4 linked regions of the Drosophila melanogaster genome follow. The protein of the gene in region 1 purifies or fractionates together with the protein of each later gene. This does not show direct contact. Each region holds a gene or a part of one and is shown on either strand. Other genes may lie near its edges.

The links.
Region 2: the proteins of CG16826 (region 1) and Vajk2 purify together in Drosophila melanogaster (affinity purification with mass spectrometry, with the first as the bait; one large-scale study listed by BioGRID). This does not show direct contact.
Region 3: the proteins of CG16826 (region 1) and CG31198 purify together in Drosophila melanogaster (affinity purification with mass spectrometry, with the first as the bait; one large-scale study listed by BioGRID). This does not show direct contact.
Region 4: the proteins of CG16826 (region 1) and CG32473 purify together in Drosophila melanogaster (affinity purification with mass spectrometry, with the first as the bait; one large-scale study listed by BioGRID). This does not show direct contact.

The regions. Positions count from the first base shown.
Region 1 is NT_033779.5:13,346,185-13,349,570, reverse strand, and holds CG16826 (uncharacterized protein), read right to left. Parts: upstream 1,799-3,386; 5' UTR 1,775-1,798; coding exon 749-1,774; 3' UTR 551-748; downstream 1-550.
Region 2 is NT_033779.5:13,932,059-13,936,305, forward strand, and holds Vajk2 (Vajk2), read right to left. Parts: upstream 2,635-4,247; 5' UTR 2,552-2,634; coding exon 2,540-2,551; intron 1,739-2,539; coding exon 938-1,738; 3' UTR 501-937; downstream 1-500.
Region 3 is NT_033777.3:21,752,662-21,758,277, reverse strand, and holds CG31198 (uncharacterized protein), read right to left. Parts: upstream 3,955-5,616; 5' UTR 3,873-3,954; intron 3,718-3,872; 5' UTR 3,710-3,717; coding exon 3,021-3,709; intron 2,877-3,020; coding exon 2,160-2,876; intron 2,101-2,159; coding exon 985-2,100; intron 927-984; coding exon 626-926; 3' UTR 520-625; downstream 1-519. Other genes in the region: CG31233 (uncharacterized protein), read right to left, coding at 5,104-5,616.
Region 4 is NT_033777.3:13,302,753-13,307,804, forward strand, and holds the start of CG32473 (uncharacterized protein), read left to right. Parts: upstream 1-2,011; 5' UTR 2,012-2,318; intron 2,319-5,052. Other genes in the region: CG43208 (uncharacterized protein), read left to right, coding at 713-740, 806-999.

The sequences.
Region 1 (3,386 bases):
CACATTTTCATTGAAAAATATAACAGCATAAAACTTTATAAACGCTGTACTACGCGCTTCGTGTCCTCTTCAATTGACTGTTATACAAAAGCACAAAAGTTCATTTTTATAGCAGTTGAGATTGTTAATTCAGTGTTATACCTTTCGTTACTGTTGTTATACAACTATTTATATTTATAGCAGCTGGGGAAGTCCTTTAAGGGGAATTCACTCAGTTCATTTGCATCATTTGTTAGTAGGGGAGGTGCTAAGAGTGCAAGTTAGTTTCTTTTTCCCTTTTTCTATATTATTTAGCACCCTTATTTAATTTACATATAAAGGCAGAATCGAATGCATTTAAATAATTAATCTACTAAAGCCTCGTGTCTTTAAATTGCCACGACTTTCGTGCCTTACCTAAATAAATGAATATGACAATTTTAAAATAATTGCTTTAGCATCCGCAAAAAATGTGCTGCACCATTGATGAAGTTAATCGGTATCTGGGTAATACGTTTGCGGTAGAGTAATTTTTAAAGTACTGTTCAAAGTTAAGAAATATTTTGAGAAGCTTGGCATAGTTTATTAAGAAACATCATTGATAAACGATGAAGGAAAACAATTTCTAATTTAGTTGCATTAGAGTAATTTATTTTGCTGCTTCTACCCGACACCTAAAATACACTATACGTTCTTGTAAATATTTCCATGAGGATTCGTCGTCATTGCTGGAGTTGTCATATTCATTACTGGATGACTCCCCGAAATCCTACGAACTTATGGTGGTCGTTTCATTATTAGAGCTAGAGTCGTCATCGGTGGAAGTCTGCTGCTCCTGGTACTCCGCAATGATCTCATCCAGCTTGCGCTCCACGCTGGGCTTCTCCAGCTCGTGCTCGGCCAGGGTCTGGCCCACACATCCGCTGGCATTCAGGCCGATGGCCAGTAGTCGGATGCCTTGAAGCTTCAGGGTGAGCAGCTCCGCGGGAGCCGAGTCGAGTCCGCGTAGTGCCTCATTGATGCCATTGCGGCAGGACAGGAAGCTGAGGTTGAACTGGACGCAGAGCTCGACTTGGTCCGTCAGTTCGTTGGTGGCATTGTGGTACTTTTCGATGGCCTCTTGGACATTTTGCTCAAACGTGGCTTGCTGCGCTTGCAACTCCTCCAGGCAGCTGTGCAGATATCCGGAATACCGGGAGAGTAGCTCATTTATGATCTCCTCGGCTTCCTCGTTGCCAACTCCATTCGTCAGCTTATCCACTCGTTCCAATTGGGCGTCAGACCATTGGTACCACTTCTTCTGGATTATGGCGAAATACTCTTGTTTCTTCTCGTCTATCCGATCATTGAGGTTATTCACGGCCACTTCCAGATCATTTACGACGGTATTGACGGTCTGCAGTCTGGCGAGAGCATCCTTAAGTGCCTCTCGCTGCAGGATGTTTCTCACCCGATCAATCCCCTGATGCAGTGCGTCGATCTGCGCCCTCAGAGTCGCGGAAAAGTCGACGATTGACTCAGTGGCGGCTCTATGAACTGCATCTGCGATTTTTTGGGCAAACTCCAGGGTTTCGTGCGTGTACTGGGCGGAGGAGTTCCTTATGCTGTCCAGGAACTCACCAGCAATGGCCGTGCCATTCCTGGTGGCATTCACGAATCCACTGATGATGTGCTGGCCAGTTTGGTTTATGGAGCCGAAGATTTCATCCAAGAATTCCGGATGCGGTGTGGCAACAACGCAGCTGGCGCTGATGGCCAGGGCGAGCAGGAGAACGGCTGACTTGGTCGAATGCATCGTCGGTCAACGGATAGCCTAATCATTCTGCACCCTGGACCACCTTTTATATATCTCGGCTACGTGCGCTTGGGCAAATACATTCGCTGACTATTTCAATATTGAAGCAGGCCGGCATTTTATTAAATTAGTTAATATTTAATCAGCCGCTTTCCATAATGAGCGAATAGTGGAATGCATGCTGGTTGGATAACTTTTCGAAGAAAGCTCTGTGCACATTTGTTTTACTGTACTTGGGGGCAATTAAAAAAAAAATTATTTTATGCATTCTCAGTGTTATGAGGACAATGATTTTCTTTATTCAAACACAACGTTATTTTTTTAATCACCGCAAAATACAGTACTCAATAAATAATTAACAACGCGAATATAAATATAACTTTTGCCTTGCATTTTCTTAAAATCCCCTCTCAAATCCACTCACTTAAAGCATGCTTATAATAAAAGCCCTTGGCTTAAACTATGAAAATAAATCAAATAAGTCAATTTCGCGTGCATTAAAACCGAAGGCTCTTTATGCGGGTCTCACACAATCGCAGGCAGGTGGTTATAGACCCACCCTGCCATTTGCACAAGGACAAAGGTTAAACTCTGCTTTAATTTTGAAATTTATATGCCTGCGAGACAAAGGAGCGCATGTTTACGCTCAGGTTAAACCCTTTTGTGGCGAACTTTATGCATAACTAACCGAACGAACTGGGTGGTTCTTTTTGGGGGGCGTGGCAGGACGTGCACATAATAATTGTCTTTAGCATGCCTTTATTATGACTTTAATTGTCGCTTGACAAACGTTGACACACAACGACATGAAATGCTCGCCAGGTATATGTATTGTATAAATGTATATACATTTGGAGATATGGAAAGTAGCTGGCATTGTGGGTGGCGAGGTGATGGGGTTGTGATGGCGTGGTGATGTGCCGAGGCCTTGAGCGACATGCACTATGAACATTTTATTAGTCTGCTGTTAGTTTTGTTTAATTATGCTGTCATTAACTTTGTCGCACAGCCACACGCCTAACTGCAAAACAAAAGCTTACATGTCTCAACGCAATTATAGCCGGAGTGGCCAACAAAGTGCTCCATGGACAAGGACAATGGGTTGGCGGAGCGATCCCGCACTCTTCTGGTTGCCATTTTTCCCAGCTATTTTTACACCCATCCACTCCACACCGCTGCAGTCTCCTCAATGCACAGACATTTAATTTTGCGTTTTCCACTAATTGGCTTGCATACTTGCCATATTCTCGCTTCGCTTAATTAATTTAATTAGAAATATGTTTCAGCTCAAAAGAAATTCAAACCTCAAAACCGTTTCAATAGCAATCAGTTCCGTTTAGCATATGATAATGATGTCGCAATTGCAATTACCTGTTTAAAGAAAGAGGTCGGGTCGGGTCGTATGGGCAGTAACTTGCCTTTGGCGGATCACGCTCATCATCGGCTCCATTTAGAGGACATCAGGTGTGGAGTGGGAGAGTCTGGTCCATTTAAGAAAAGCAATTCATGTGGGGAATTCGAGAAGCATGAGCTTAAATGCTAGCTCAAAAAAGTTTATGTAAGTGGGATTACATCACAAATATCACTTGACCTTAATAGAATATATTTGTCT
Region 2 (4,247 bases), 590 kb from region 1:
GGCCTACTCACTAAATTTACAGTTTTAAAAACATTGTTTGCGAACAATTACTTGACGCACTGTAATGCAATTCAGAATAATTCCCAAAATTTATAATAAATAAATAAATCATTGCATAGTTGTGGGAATATCCTTTGACTAAAATAAGCTGTATTAATCCACTTAAGAGTAACTCCACACCCCCTCATAAAAATTAATAAATATCCATAAATATATAATATATATATATATTATATATAAATATATAATATGTAAATATATAATATGTAGTCCTTTATGGCTACGTTTTAACTTGACAGATATATAACTTCTGTAAAAAAATGTATTTATTCCAAAATAGCAATGCAGCAATACAAATTAAGCTTTCAGCTTAAACAAAAGGCTCATTAAGTGAAAATACCCTATATACCTTAAAAATATCCTATCGAACTTCTATCTTTTTTTTTTTTAATGGAAAGCCCAGTATTTCTGAAAGTACAAGTCTTAAGTTTTTTTTTTTTAATTTTCGTTTTATTTACATTATTTAAATATGTACAAATATTTCATAGAAAAGAAATTTACGTGAAAAAGTCGAAGGAGCAACTCGTCAGCAGTTATTTCTCTGTGATTGTCTACAAAAGAACTGTACACTCGATGGATTTGGATGCCAGGAGACAGGCACTTTTCAAACGCCCCGGATGGGTTTTGGCAAGCTTTCTATAATGGATTGCGTCAGTTGTGTGATTTTCTCCTGGTTCCGATCCTTCCAGAATTTCGGTTGGTATCACAAACTAAAACTAAATTTGTAAGTCGTACGTTGGCGGTTGCTGGGCGTGGAAAGAGAGGGAGGGGTGCTTGATTCTTAATGTCTGTTGGATACTTTCGACTTGTTGGTTGGTTCGCTCGCCTTCACCCGACTTCACTTCTCGCTTGGCCCTCGACAGCATTGCGATTTCATCTACTTTTTGTGGAGGTAGCCACCGTGGGCGGAGCCGCCGTAGGAGGAGCTGCCGTAGGAGGAGATTCCGTGTCCGGAAATTCCGTATCCGGAGATTCCGTGTCCGGAGTAGCCGTGGCTGATGATGGCAGGAGCAGCGGCAACGGTGTGGGTGACGGCCACGGCGGGCTTGACGTGGCTCTCAACGTGGACAGGCACGGGCACGGCCACCTTGTAGGGCACTGGACGCTCCACATGGACGGGCACCTTGTGGATCACACGCTTCTCGACGGTGTATGGCACGGGCTTCTCCACGGGCACGGGGTATGGCTTGTCGACATGGACGGTGTAGGGACGATCAACTGGGATCTTCACGGGCACACGGATCACCTTCTCGACGGGGTAGGGCTGGGGCACCTCGACGGGCACCTTCACGATCTGCTTGACGGGCACATGGACGATCTTCTCCACGGGGTAGGGCTGGGGCACGGGCACCTTAACGGGATAGGTGACGGTCTTCTCGACGGGGTAGGGAACGTGACGCTCCACCTGGTAGGGCACCTGCACGGTCCTCACCACGGTGTTGGTGTGCACCTGGGTGGGCAGCTCAGCGACAGCGGGAGCCACTGGAACTCCAACACCGATGCCGGATCCCAGAATGGCGCCTCCCGCCGATGGTCCGTATCCGTAGCCCAGACCGTGGCCAATGCCGCGCTTCTCCTGCTTCTTCTCGGCGGGCTCGGCGGTCTCGACGGCCTTCTTGGGTGCCTCCTCACTGGCGTTGGCCACCAGCACGCACATCGCCACAAGGCCGAAAATGAGCTGCAATGACAAGTGGGTTAAATTCGATAGAAACCCAATTGGCTTGGTCGGGCGGTTATGCAACTGCAGCCGCTTCCGGCTCCACCTCCGCCCGATTACTCCATAATTTGGAATATGACAATTATGCAATGTTGGGTGGAAAGTTGGCTGGGCAACCAGCCAAGTTCAATTGTGGCCTAGGCCCCCTGACATATTGGGCATGCGGCGTATACTTAATGTGGCTTGATATTTTCGCAATAATTCGGTTAAAATACAAATTGGAAGAAGGCAAATTCAACTCTTTGTAGTTTCGCGTTCAAAGCTTTTTAATACGAATCTACATTTTTGTTTTCTTTTTTAAATGCTAAAAACATATTCTAGGACTGCCTATCCTTTTCGGGTTAAAATGATCCTTAACACTTTTCGATTTTAGTAATTATGAAATGTGATTTCTTTCAATAAGATTTAAATGTAGAACTGGTAATGGAAAAATTAAATATTTCAATTAGTTTTCTCTCTAAAAATCCTTTCTTAAAACCATGTTCATATTTACTTGGGTAAACCAAAATGCCACAAAAAAGTAACATATCTAGAGACATTTTAGAATATCCGTTCTATCCTTGCTTTTGAAAGAGCTGATGAAGTCGTGCAAAAACCTTTTTAAAAATACTTTAATTGCAACACCGATATGTCTACATTGTTCCATAAATATATATATATATATTCTTTTGCAAGTCACTTTAACTGAATCCGAGTTTTTGAAACACAATTATTCTAAGCAGCACTTCGAAGGAGAACACACTGAGCTCAGACCGAACATACCATGGATTTCATTTTGCACTAGGTTAGCTCCTCAACACTTTGCGATCAAGATGGGCTTGTATGTCTCAACCAACCCGCAACAGTTAACTGAATAATTTCGCACAGACGCAGCGAGCTTTTATATGGCCGATGCTGTGGCGGGATTGTCTTCAGCCGCGGCTGCGCAGTCGACGTGAATCGAGATCGCAGCAGCCGTGTTGAAAAAGCTCGCTCTCCATCCGTTCGACAGCTCCTCTCTCTCTTGGCCAACTGTCCGTGTGAGCCCGTGGCCCAAAGGAAATGCGTCAGCAAGCGAGCTTTTTCGAAAGAGGGTGCCTCACACGGACAGTGTCCATGTTGTCCGTGTGATCTGCGCCTGTATGAGTGCGTATCTGTGAACACTCGAGCTCCAACTGTAGCGATCTTTGGGAACTACTGAAAGTATTCAGACACCAAGTAACTGGGGGCACAGTTTAGTAGAAAGAATCGTTTCTTGCCAATAGCCAACATAACAAACATAGCAAATGGGTAATTTCGTTTAATTTTGCCTTAATCTACCAAAGAGATCCAATCAATTCTTTTGGAGAATCGCTCTTAATTGTACAGTTCAAACAATATAGACTTTTTTAATCATATACGTATGAATTTTAATCAACGACTTTAGAGTTTTAGAGTCTCAGAGTTTGTTTCTAGAATATTCGAAAAGTGATAAATTTTGTATTGTTAAAATTTTAGTAAACAGCTTTAAAAGTCCTTAGAAAGTTTATGTAATTTTAGATCGGAGCCCTTCCTCCGACGTCTTTTTGCGCAGTTAGTATTGTTATATGTAGCCATTATTATATTATCATTTTCCCTTTGTACAAATATATCTTATTAATATATTTTTTGTAAAAATCTCACATAAATACATGAAGTGTTAGTGTTTGTTTCCCAGGTAAAATTACATTAATGAACACGACAAATAAAATAAACTACTTGTATTTCTTACCATTTTACATAAATCTTTGGAAATCAACACATTCGAAAAGAACATTAATTATAAACATAATAATTATTCAATTAAAAATTAAATATTAACAAAGTTAAAAATGAACATAAAGAGTTTAAAATTTATGGACCATAAATAAATGAGTAATTTTTGGCTGGTAACGAAACCTTCATAATTATTAAAAAATATATACATTAAAAAAGAGATCACAAATACTTTTCTAATGCATAATTTTGACTAGTCCTTAGTGTTGGGAAATTTTTGCCCCAAAGCCTTGAGCCATTAATAAATAACTGACCGCGAGCACTTCAGTCACATAATCAAATTAGACACAACGGGCAAAGTGTTCCACAGCCATAAGTTAAATTCACATTAGCCACACATTTCCGAAAATTTCAGGTTACAAATCCAGTTGCAGTTGCAGTTGCATATTGAATGTAAATTGCTTGGCTGCAGAAGAAACATGCGCCGCATAGTCTGCTTGATTCTGTGTGGCTTCGTGACTGAACTTTTGATCTCGGATTTGTGTTTGGCTCCGTATTCTTGTTTGCTTCGGTTTTTTTTTCTCAGCTTTTTGGCCAGGCTGAGCGGCGTTTTAAGCCTTGATATGGGTGCATTGATTGAATGCTGTGGCAGTGTGGGTAATTTGACATTTTAATGCTGCAGAGGAAATACTCGCCAATGGCCATGTAAATGGAACGTGTGAACAATGAGTGGACCGCAAAACGCGCACAAAGGAGA
Region 3 (5,616 bases), on another chromosome or scaffold:
AAAGTGAATCAACTTAGTTAGCCAGAATAGGTGGTAAGATCGATATCTGCAAGACAATATTGTAAAAGAGCTAGCAATAAAGATAGTAATTTATTACTTATGTCGGTCAGTTTAAGTTTCAGCGATATTCCTTGTCTTTTTTTTTAATTGCATCAAAATTAAAGCACACAAATTAAAAAAAAAAACCCTAATGGCTTAATATGGTTTGATTTATTACGCGCCAGACTTAAATTAATGGCTAATACAATCTAATAAAAAATAAATAAAACACCTTTTCGCCGGAAATTTCGGTAAAACTTAAAAAAAAATCGTTTATTGCCCTTCAACAAATTTATGGCCAAATAGTGATCGATTGAACCGTAGTTTTATAAAATCCCCTCAAGATCCCGAACTGAATCACCCGGCAATATTGTCGCTAATCAGATTGTAAATTAATTGTCGCCATGGGTGTCATTTAAGCCCATTTCATGATCGATTTTGCTAGCACGAGTAATAATAAACTAAAACAGCGGCTTATCTACAAAAAGGTGTTACTTTATTGGGTGCTCTTGCGTACAAATACTTTATGGCCTAAGGAGCACTCGTGACTCGATCGCACCTGACTCCAGTAGGAGCTAATCCCTGCTTAGTTACGCAGCATGGTGACCAGGGCCACCATCAAAAGGCTGATGGCGCTGAAGGCGTTGACCATGGCGCTTCCACTACGATAGTTGGCCAGATAGCTGCGGAAAACGCCCAGCTTGGCCGTAGCCCACTCCAAGTTCTCCTTAACGGTTGCCTCGGCGGCGGTCAAAGTGGCCTGCGAGCTGCCGAACTTGGCGCCATTAGCCTTGTTGAAGTTCTCCAGATCAGTTAACTGCTGATTTGTGGTGAAACGGGCGGCGATATTGGAAATCACCGTGGCCACAGCGGAGTAGCCGCCCATGCTGCAGAAAGAAGTGAATTATAAAATGCAAGCCAAACCAAATAATAGGATATACTTACGCCTCAGCCAATTCCTCGTATTTCTGAGTGACCAGTGCAAACACCGGACTGACATTCTCGTTGTTCTCCGTGTAGAGAGTGGCCAGCACGGATGACTTGTCCTGTCGTCGAATCTCATCGCTGATGATCAGATCGAACACCTTCTCGATTAGAGACTGGGTCTTGACGCAACCGAATGAGTTCTGCAGCAGGGTCTCCTCGGTGGCCACGGTCTCGTTCTTGAACTTGTTGTAAAGAGCCTGGAACTCGGCCTCACCACCTTCACGCAGACCCACGCAGTAGACAGTGGCGCGTATGTTCTTGGGCACGGTGGCCAACGATTGGAAGTAGCCCTGGGCCTGGCTGATGCAATCGGAGCTGCCATAGCGACAGGCCCAGGAGAGGATCTTAGTGCGTAGGTAAATGTCCAAGGCTGTATCATTCGATGCTTCATTGAAGCCCAGCTGATTGTAGGCCTTGTTGGTCAGGGTCTGGATATAGTAATTGAAATCGGCCGTGTCGTTTCCGAGGCGGATAGTCAAGTAGTTGAAGCCGTTGAAGGCGGATGTCCAGGGGATGTAGTTGGTCTCCGTCTGCAAATACTCGATCACATCCAAGGTAAGGTTGTAGGTAACATATCCAGCCCTGGCCAGATTGAACAGATCATCCACGATCTGGGCGCGATTGTTCTCGTGAATTCCTCCCCAGTTGGCTGTGATCAGAGCGTGGTGGATGGCATGCCAATTGTCGTCGGAGTAGGTGACACGGTAATATCCGGTCTGCTGAATATTGACCACAATCCATTTTATTGTTGAGTTGAATTGAACCGTCGTAGTTACGTTGGGTTTCAGAATAAACTTTGGCGTGGTGTTCAAAAAGTTATTTGTCTCACTGGTAGTGTAGGAAATGGGCACAGTATATTTCAAAGATGAGTCGGATCCATCGCTCTCCTTCAGCAGGAAACGCTTCTGCGTGAAGCTGACCTGACTGTTGCCAACAGTTACATTGATCAGTGGATAGCCCACCTGCTCGGTGAAGCTCTTGAATATATCTTTGGAGCTTTCATTGTAACTGGAGTTGGGCCAATTGGCTTGCCAGGCTCCCAAGAGATATTCAGGCAAAGACGACTGATACTCGCTGTAAGCAAGAAAAACCCTTGAAATACAAGTCACATATTTAATTTCCCCACTACTCACTATTTCTTCAGGTATTCCTGCAGGGACTTCTGGAATTGTTGCTCGCCCATGGTGTGCTTGATCATACGGATGAAGGTGGCTCCCTTGTTGTAGGAGATGCTGTTAAACATGCGGCTCAGATGGGCGGGCGTGTAGGTGTTCTCATCGCTCAGCGGATTGGTGGCATTGGTCGAGTCCATGGCCATGACCGACTGCACCTGGTCAACCACAAACTGCTTCTCCAGCTCCCATTTGTCCTCGACCATGGCGGTGCCGAAGTATTGGAAATAGCGAGCGAATCCCTCGTTAAGCCAGGTGTAGCTCCACCACTTGCAGGTGACCAGATCGCCGAACCACATGTGCGCCTGTTCGTGAGCCACCACGGCGGCAATGGACTGGCGGGAGGCCAAGGTAGTAGCCGACTCGTCCACCAGCAGGGAACGCTCCCTGTAGGTCAACAGACCCCAGTTCTCCATTGCTCCGGCCGAGAAATCCGGAATGGCGGCCATATCCATCTTGTCGTTGCCCATAGAGTAGTAGTCCTTATCCAGGTACTGGCCCATCTCCTCCAAAATCTGGATACCCACATTGTAGGGGTACTGGGTCTGAGCATAGTACTCGGGACGTGCGTAAACTCCGAAATCGTCATCCTTACGGGCCACGAACTCGGAAATTATGAAAGCCAGCAGATAGGTGGACATTTTGGGCGTCGTCTTGTACACGTCCGAGAAAATACCTCTAATAATTGGGTGAAATAAAACATAATATTCAGATCAAGAAATAACAACTTTCTCGTTAATCGATTAAATTCTCACTAGATAGTTGAATTTCTTAACCAATGGAAGGCTTACAGATTAACAATAAAGTGGTGGAAGTTCTTACTCTTCAGTGCTGGGATACGATGAGATCAGACGGGTGTTACTGACCGAGTTGAAGGTCCTGTGTCGCTTCAGCGTGACATCGAAGGTGGCCTTGAACTGGGGCTCATCAAAGCTGGGGAAGGCGCGACGAGCGTGATGGGTTTGGAATTGGGTGGATCCCAGCCACTTGGTAACATTGTTATCGTCCACATAGGAGCTGCGATAGAAACCGTGCATATCGTCCTCCATCAGACCGGTGTACACGAAATGCAGTATATATGTCGTATTGGCGGTCAAAGCAGTTGACGCCGTCAGCTTTACAATATCCGTATCATAGTTCGTTGTATTGGTGGCACTAATTTGGATGACCGTAGGATTGGCCACTTCGGTGGTTGGCTTTTGCCAGTATTCCCTGACCGAATATGTGAGGTTTTTCGAGTGCAGATAGATGTCGTTGGTGGTCTGGTTGGAAATCACCTCGATCCAAACCTCGCCATCGAAGGTGAACCTCTTGTTGCCATCGGTCTCCAGCAAATAGGGACGCAGCGTAATGTTGTAGTTAACCGGCGTGATGTGCTCGGCCAGGCGGTATTCATTTAGCTCGGTGGCGAGCGTCGCCGGCGGCTGGACATCCACAGACAGTTGCCGAGTTCCTGCCGAGGCCAAGGACACACAGGCCACCAGGAGAACAGCCACTCGCGGGGCAAACATTCTTCCTACTAATGAAATATCAAAAGGGATACAAATTAAAAACTTAATTAATCGCATCGCTAGTACGTGTCTAGTAATTTAAAGTTTTTTTTTTCACTTTTATAAGGATTGTTCCAATTTTACTTGAAAAATCCCCATTTATATAAGCACTTATTAAACTCACTTTTCAAGGGTTCGATCGCGAACCTCGGACTAGAATTAGTATTTCGCACGCCACTCGGCCAGCGATTCGATTCGAAAACTAAGTGAGTTTTGGCTTTGGGCCCGGTATATATGGTGAATGTAAACCATTTTGCGACTTTGCTAGTATCAGCGGCTTATCTGCAAACTTTAACGTTTTATTTCGGCCCAGATAAAGTTCGCCTGGTCTATAGATTAAGCTGCGATAGCGATAAGGGGTCGTGATTTACACACTCCGCCATTGGCTACCAATCCAAGCTGACAATATTTTTTTGAAGATTGCCAGACGATGGCATAACATTTGCTGTCCGTTGCACTGCTTCTTTGAGACTTTATGGTGCATTGCACCCAATCTTATCGAGCGTGATTTGCAGTCTTCCAAAGGGGAAAGCTTTTAACTGCCAAGTTGTTGCTAATGTTGGTTGATTACAAGATACTTCGTAAATAATGAAACAAACATGAATAGGTTTGTCTGAATTTTTTATATGAGCATCCAAAGAATTGTCGGTCCGTACATTTTACCTTGTATTCGTTTGGATTAACTAACGCTATCGCAAAATGGCTTATCAACATATGAACCACATTATGTTAAGTGTATTGTACTCTTAAAGGAACTTCTTCCTGCTATGAAGCATTTAATGAGTATTATTGATTGATTAGTGGCCAAAGCAAATCAAAAATTGACGGCAAACGCTTATTTACGGCACAATAGAGTATCAAAGCTATTGAAAAAACACATTTGTCAAGCATATGAATGATAAACAAGAAAATATATCTGCACACCGCCCCCAGTAGTTTGTTAAATTTGCAAAAACCGCCGATTATAAAACTGTATCCACCAAGTTATTAAAGTCATAAAAACCCCTCAAGAAATTTCAGTCTTTGTTTAATTCCTTTTATTATATTTATATTCGACCATTTGTGAAACTAAAGGCTAACATGATTTCGTTCACACTTATGAAATTAGTTGCCAAGGCTGATTACCCATGTATTTATGGCTCAACTGTGGTCGTAAGAACAGAGTTTTTTACTTTTCAAAAGAGGAAATTTATGAAATACTCACGCTTATCTGACCACTTCGATCTGGCAATTCACGACCATAAACCTATGAAGGGAATTGTAAATTCCCAGCAAAAGCAAACAATAGTTTTAGGAAATTAATGGAATTTATTGGGCGCACAATGGAAATCTATAACTAACTTAGGATCTACGTTTTAGAATAGCTTGGCGGCCAGAAGGCAGGCAAGGATTGCCAAAATGGAGGCGTTCAGGGCGGAGCTGCCGCTGCGGAATCCGGCGACCCAGGTCATCAGGGGATCCCTGTTGGAAGCCAGCCACGCGTAGTTGGCATTCACGTTGCTATCCACGCTATCCTGCAGAGTGCTGGGCACATACTCAGAACCCTTGACAGTGTCCACCAACTCTTGCAAGGCATCCTTCTGCTTGTCGTTGACGGTATAGGCGGAAATACCCACAATGTCGCTGTACAGAGGATTTACGCCACCAAAGCCGGAATTTAGCTGACCATACTTTTCCCAGTTCTTCTGCAGGAACTCAATGGCGACCAGCAGACCCACCTCGCCGCGGGAGTAGACCGGACTCAGCACCGTGATCCTTTCCTGATCCCTCAAACCCTCTGGCTCAATGCTGCTGTACACGAACTTCTCTAGCTGGGCAGTGTTCTGGGAGCAGCCCAGGGCGGAGATCAGAAGACGACGCTCGGCCTG
Region 4 (5,052 bases), on another chromosome or scaffold:
GTAGCATATCCCGAAGGAACAGTAACTAATGTGAACTCATTTTAGGGCTGACGGTTAAGTCAGTGGCCATCTTTTTGGGCCTGGCCTCTACTGCTTTTTGTGTGGCCACGATTGTGCTGGCCGTTCAGAATGCGGACCTGGAGAACGATCTGCAGGATGCCCTCGATAAGATCGACGCATTGACGGTGGACACCACGTCCACGTCCTCCACCTCTACCAGCACTTCCACGACCACCACCACTGCAAATCCCAATGGGCCCACGGATGACACCGAGCCTGGCTCTACCACCACACCTGGCGTAGGAGGTGACACAACCCCCAGTGCAGGAACATCTCCGGGTGGTGAAACTTCGCCATCATCCAGTACAGGAAGCACCACCAATCCCATCTATCCGACATTGCCGACAGGACTTCCTGATCCTGAAAAGGTGAGTGAAGTGCAAGAAAAATATATTTCACGGCTATAAAAGATGTTAGTTCAGAAAAACCCTCACACAGAGTGGGAAAATTTTCAGCGATTAGACGTAAAGTCGGCATGGCTACTAATTTCGAATTTATTAAGTTCCAACTTAGTCTTACTGGTCATTTCAAGTGCTTATCGCTTGGCTAGCGTTTTTTTTCCTCTTTTTTATCATAATACAAAACGGGTCTAATTTCTTGGGTCTTTTAAGTTAGTTTAATTGCGGCTAACGCAGTGTTAGGAGCCACAAAAATGGGACACATGCAGGACAGGATTAAGGGTATTTATTGATAACGAAGGAAGTTTTGGGAAAACACCGATACCGATTCATGTATATTTTCATAGACTTGATCACCGCTGAGCGCGTGGCTATATTCTTTGGTCTATTATCGACCTGCTTGATCGTTGCCCTTGTCATTGTGGCCGTCCACAGGGATAATTTATTGCTGCAGTTGGACGAAGCCAAAAGGATGTTGGATGTTCTGGAGGAATACATTCAAAGCCACTTGTTGTCCACCATTTCGGAAAGAAATTCATAAGAATTAGGGTGCTGGCAAACATTCAAAAAGATGGCTTTCAAATCCATATCTATTTCCAAAAATGGTTAAAGCAATAAAGCAATAAAGGCAAACGGATAAGAAACCAAAATACGCTTAGGTTTCAATATTTGTGTAGTAGAGCTATTGTTGTTTGATATCTGAAATTGCACCTAATAAATTAGGACCCTAATTTCACAACATTTAGCCACTATATCCAGCTAAGGCATATTTGTTGCAACGACGTCCACTTGGTTTACGACCTGACCACAACAGTGCTATTTCCTATCGCCACCTTATCAACGCATTGCTCACTTAATAGGGCCAAAGCCCATTATCGATGGCGTGGATATTAAATAAACTTTACGACCCCGCAGATCGAATGGCGCCTGCCCACGGAACTGACGCCCATCAAGTACAAGGTGTACTACCATCCCGACTTGACGACCGGCGCCTGTGAGGGAACCGTGTCCATTCAGTTCCAGCTGAACGCGATCACCAACCTGATCGTCCTGCACGCCAAGGAGCTCAATGTGCACAGCATCAGCATCCTGAACATGATGGCGCGCATACGCGTGGCCATCGATAGCATCAACTTGGATGAGTCCCGGGAGCTGCTCCTGATCACGCTAAGAGAGGTCCTCAGTATGAACAAGGCCTACACACTGTCCGCAAGTTTCGACTGCGATCTGAGCAGTCTGGTGGGCAGCTACATCAGCAACTACACGAATGCCGATGGAGTAGATAGGTGAGTAATTTTAAGGTATATCTTGCGATGACAAACATTTTGTTAGCATGTCTAGACTAAGATGTCAGGTATCTTTATTATATCGTACTATTTATGTAGCTAAGATCGTATCTAGTGCACTGTCCGCAACTAGTACGATTGCAAGCACACTTGTGAATACCCCCAATGCATTGGAGATCATCGCATGTTGGGGCCATAAAAAAGCCGGTCTCAGCTGATGAGAGAGCTTTCCGGAGAAGCTCGAGTGCCGTGACAACTTTGGAGCCCGCTTCAGTCGGAAGTTCAGAGCAGAGCGCGACGGTCGCGATAGAAAAGAGCGGACTCCGTCTGCAAATACGATCTCAATTACGATTCTCGCGATTCCCCTTTCTTTTCGCTTTTCTTCGTTTTCTCGGATTTCTCGAGTGCGCGCCTACGATTTGAATCAAGAATGATAGCTGTCCGGCAATTGCCGTTATCAAATTAGCCGAGTGAATATTCCTCGGACCCGGCAAAGTTACAATTAATGCCATTCGTAGACAAAAGAAAAACGAAAAACGAGACACGAAAAGCTGTGATTTCAACTGTAAATCAAGTAAAAGGCATAGTGCGAAATGTGACGGGAATAATAGATAATAAGTGGCCCATATCAATCAGATACCGTTGAGTCCGCTCCAAAAGCTCCACGCCAATACAAAATGACCATTGTCACCGCATCGCCGTTATGCGATCAAAATTCTAGTTTTAATTGGGCGCATTGAGGCGATCACTATTTTTAATATTCGCTGAAATGTGACCACCGGATTCTATGCCAACTTTGACTTTCAACGGGTATTCGTTTCGATAAACAACGGGCCATCGCAGGCTGGCCAAGAGAACTCCACATGGCTGAATCAAACAGGTTGCACCGCTCCCTTCCCCTCCCCTCCTTCTTTCCCACACCCCTTTGGGACCGCTGCAAACAGGCTTGGAGCCAAATGCATACATAGTTCACTTGCCGCGCAAGTTCTTGGCCTTAAATCGGCCACAATCGATGCACAGCAAAAAAAAAAAGAAAAGAATTATATCTATCGTAGCCCATTATCAGATTATATTGGTATGTCTCTTATCAACGAGAAGTAGATTCTGTTCGTAGTTGCATTCTTTGACATTTATCAACAATTGTTACCAATCTGATTATAAGAAAAATTAATATCACAGTTTTTTTAATTATCAATATTATCAATATTATAAATTGTATATATAAATACAATTACGGCAATTAGACATTTTACTTCTTCATTAGATCTTCAATTTGTATCTTCGATTTTGTTGGTAATCATTTGCTTATGATTTTTTTTGCTGTGTATCTGTGGTTGTTGGCCAGCAAATGCGTCGTGTTTACATCTTCAATGCGGCAAATACTCAATGGCCGCTGAGAAAATACTTTCTTCAAAAAGCCGCAACAAAATGGGTCGACATCATTGACTGCCAAGAAACTTGTTGTCATAGTAGCTTCCCCTACCCGTTTCTCGCTGTGTTTCCTGGGTTTGTTTTGTTCTTGAAAGTTCAGTCAAAGCTCGGTGGTCAAACCTTTTTTTCATTTTCATTGACACTGATTTCTTTTTCGTTCTTCTTGGGCGAAATAGAAATTTTTTTATTTCCAAACGGTGGGAAAGAACCTTCGAAAGTGGAGGGCTTTTTAATTGGATTTTTGTGCTAATAATGTAAATTAACGGCTGTTGTTGGCAGAATTGATAAGGCACTTGACACCTTTGGCGGTGTGTAAATTATACAATTTAACACCTTGAAGTTCATTGATCTACATGCTGAAATATAAACAATTTCATTGATCTTCTATTTATAAAATATTTATTTATTTATATTTCAATGAACTGTTGATAAAGCTTACATAAATATTTGTAAATATCGCATGGTTTCGAGTTTCCTATTTTCCAATATTGAAGTTATTTATAAAGTGTATATCATGAAATCTATAGCATTAAATTAAGCAAGTCAAGGCCGAAGTTTCCTCTCCGATTTTATAGTTTATTTGTGTTGAAAGTGATGCAACCCATTGATTAATAGTAAATTTATTTCGCATTCCGTTAACCCCAAACATGCAAATTGTGGCAATCATTTCTTTGTCAACGCATCTTCCTTTTATTTATTGTTTTTATTTGAATTTTCCCTTTGTGTATATCATAAATTGCAGGCACGTATAGTCGACCATTGTCAATTTCATCCCACCGCGGGTGTTATGGGTAGTATTTCTTCCATGTCTGGGATTCACTTTGAGTTTTTGGGTGTTTCTGGGGCGCACTTGTCACGTATAACTTTGTGTTTATTGTGAAAGTTATGACCTTAAAAAGCCCGAAGAACGTGTTTCAAATGTAAGCTTTCAGTTTCGAATTCCAAAATTTAAAAGCATCTCTGCTCTGAAGTAAACAAACATATAATGGAGTGACAAACAGGGATATTTATCTGAATGATCTGAATCTGAATTTATCTGACAACACAAATTGTTACTGTTTAGCATAAGAAATGATCCACGTTTCTTATATCAAATAATGTTTAGATTAATTCCTTTTTAAGCTGCTGTATTGCGCATTAGTTTTTTTTTTCTGTGTGCTTTCGACTCGATCTACAAAGTAGTGAAATTTATGCGACTCATTAGCGAAGTATGAGAACTGTTATGTTATGGCTTGTGCCCCCGCGATCATCGCTTCATCGGCTTCAGAATGCCGAGATATTCACATCTGTGCAATGGGGCGTGTCCGATTGGCTGTTGGAAGTCGGAGATATATGAACTCATATGGTACATATGTATATACCAACCATTGTCTGCAGATCTTCTGGTTGCTTTTTTTCCGGCGCTCATAAGGTGGTAGTCATGCAATTTTGTTGACTCCGATGTGCGGTGGCTTTGTGCGATGTGCGCTCCCTAATTGAGTCAGCATTACATCATCCGCGGAAGATGCAAGGGGGCGTATACGTATTATACCATGTGTATCAGAGACAATTGCCTGCCGGCTGGTGAAAATTAGCATATTCTGCAGCCTCGAATTCCTCAATTCGCACAATTCCGAGTGAATGGTGATCCGTGTGATACTTCAGCTGCATCGCGTATTGTTCTTTTTTTTTTGGCTTAATACTCCTATATCCTGACATCATTTTCGAAAAGCAAGCCGTGGATCATGACTCTGCGGGCAACTCAATTCATTTCCAATGCTAATAATGGCATCTGTAATTTCTTGCCATCGCACAACCTGCGGAGATTTGTGCAACAGACTCCGTAAATTGACAGGCAAAAAGCCAACAACCTTTTGTGATCCGTCAATCAATCGTAC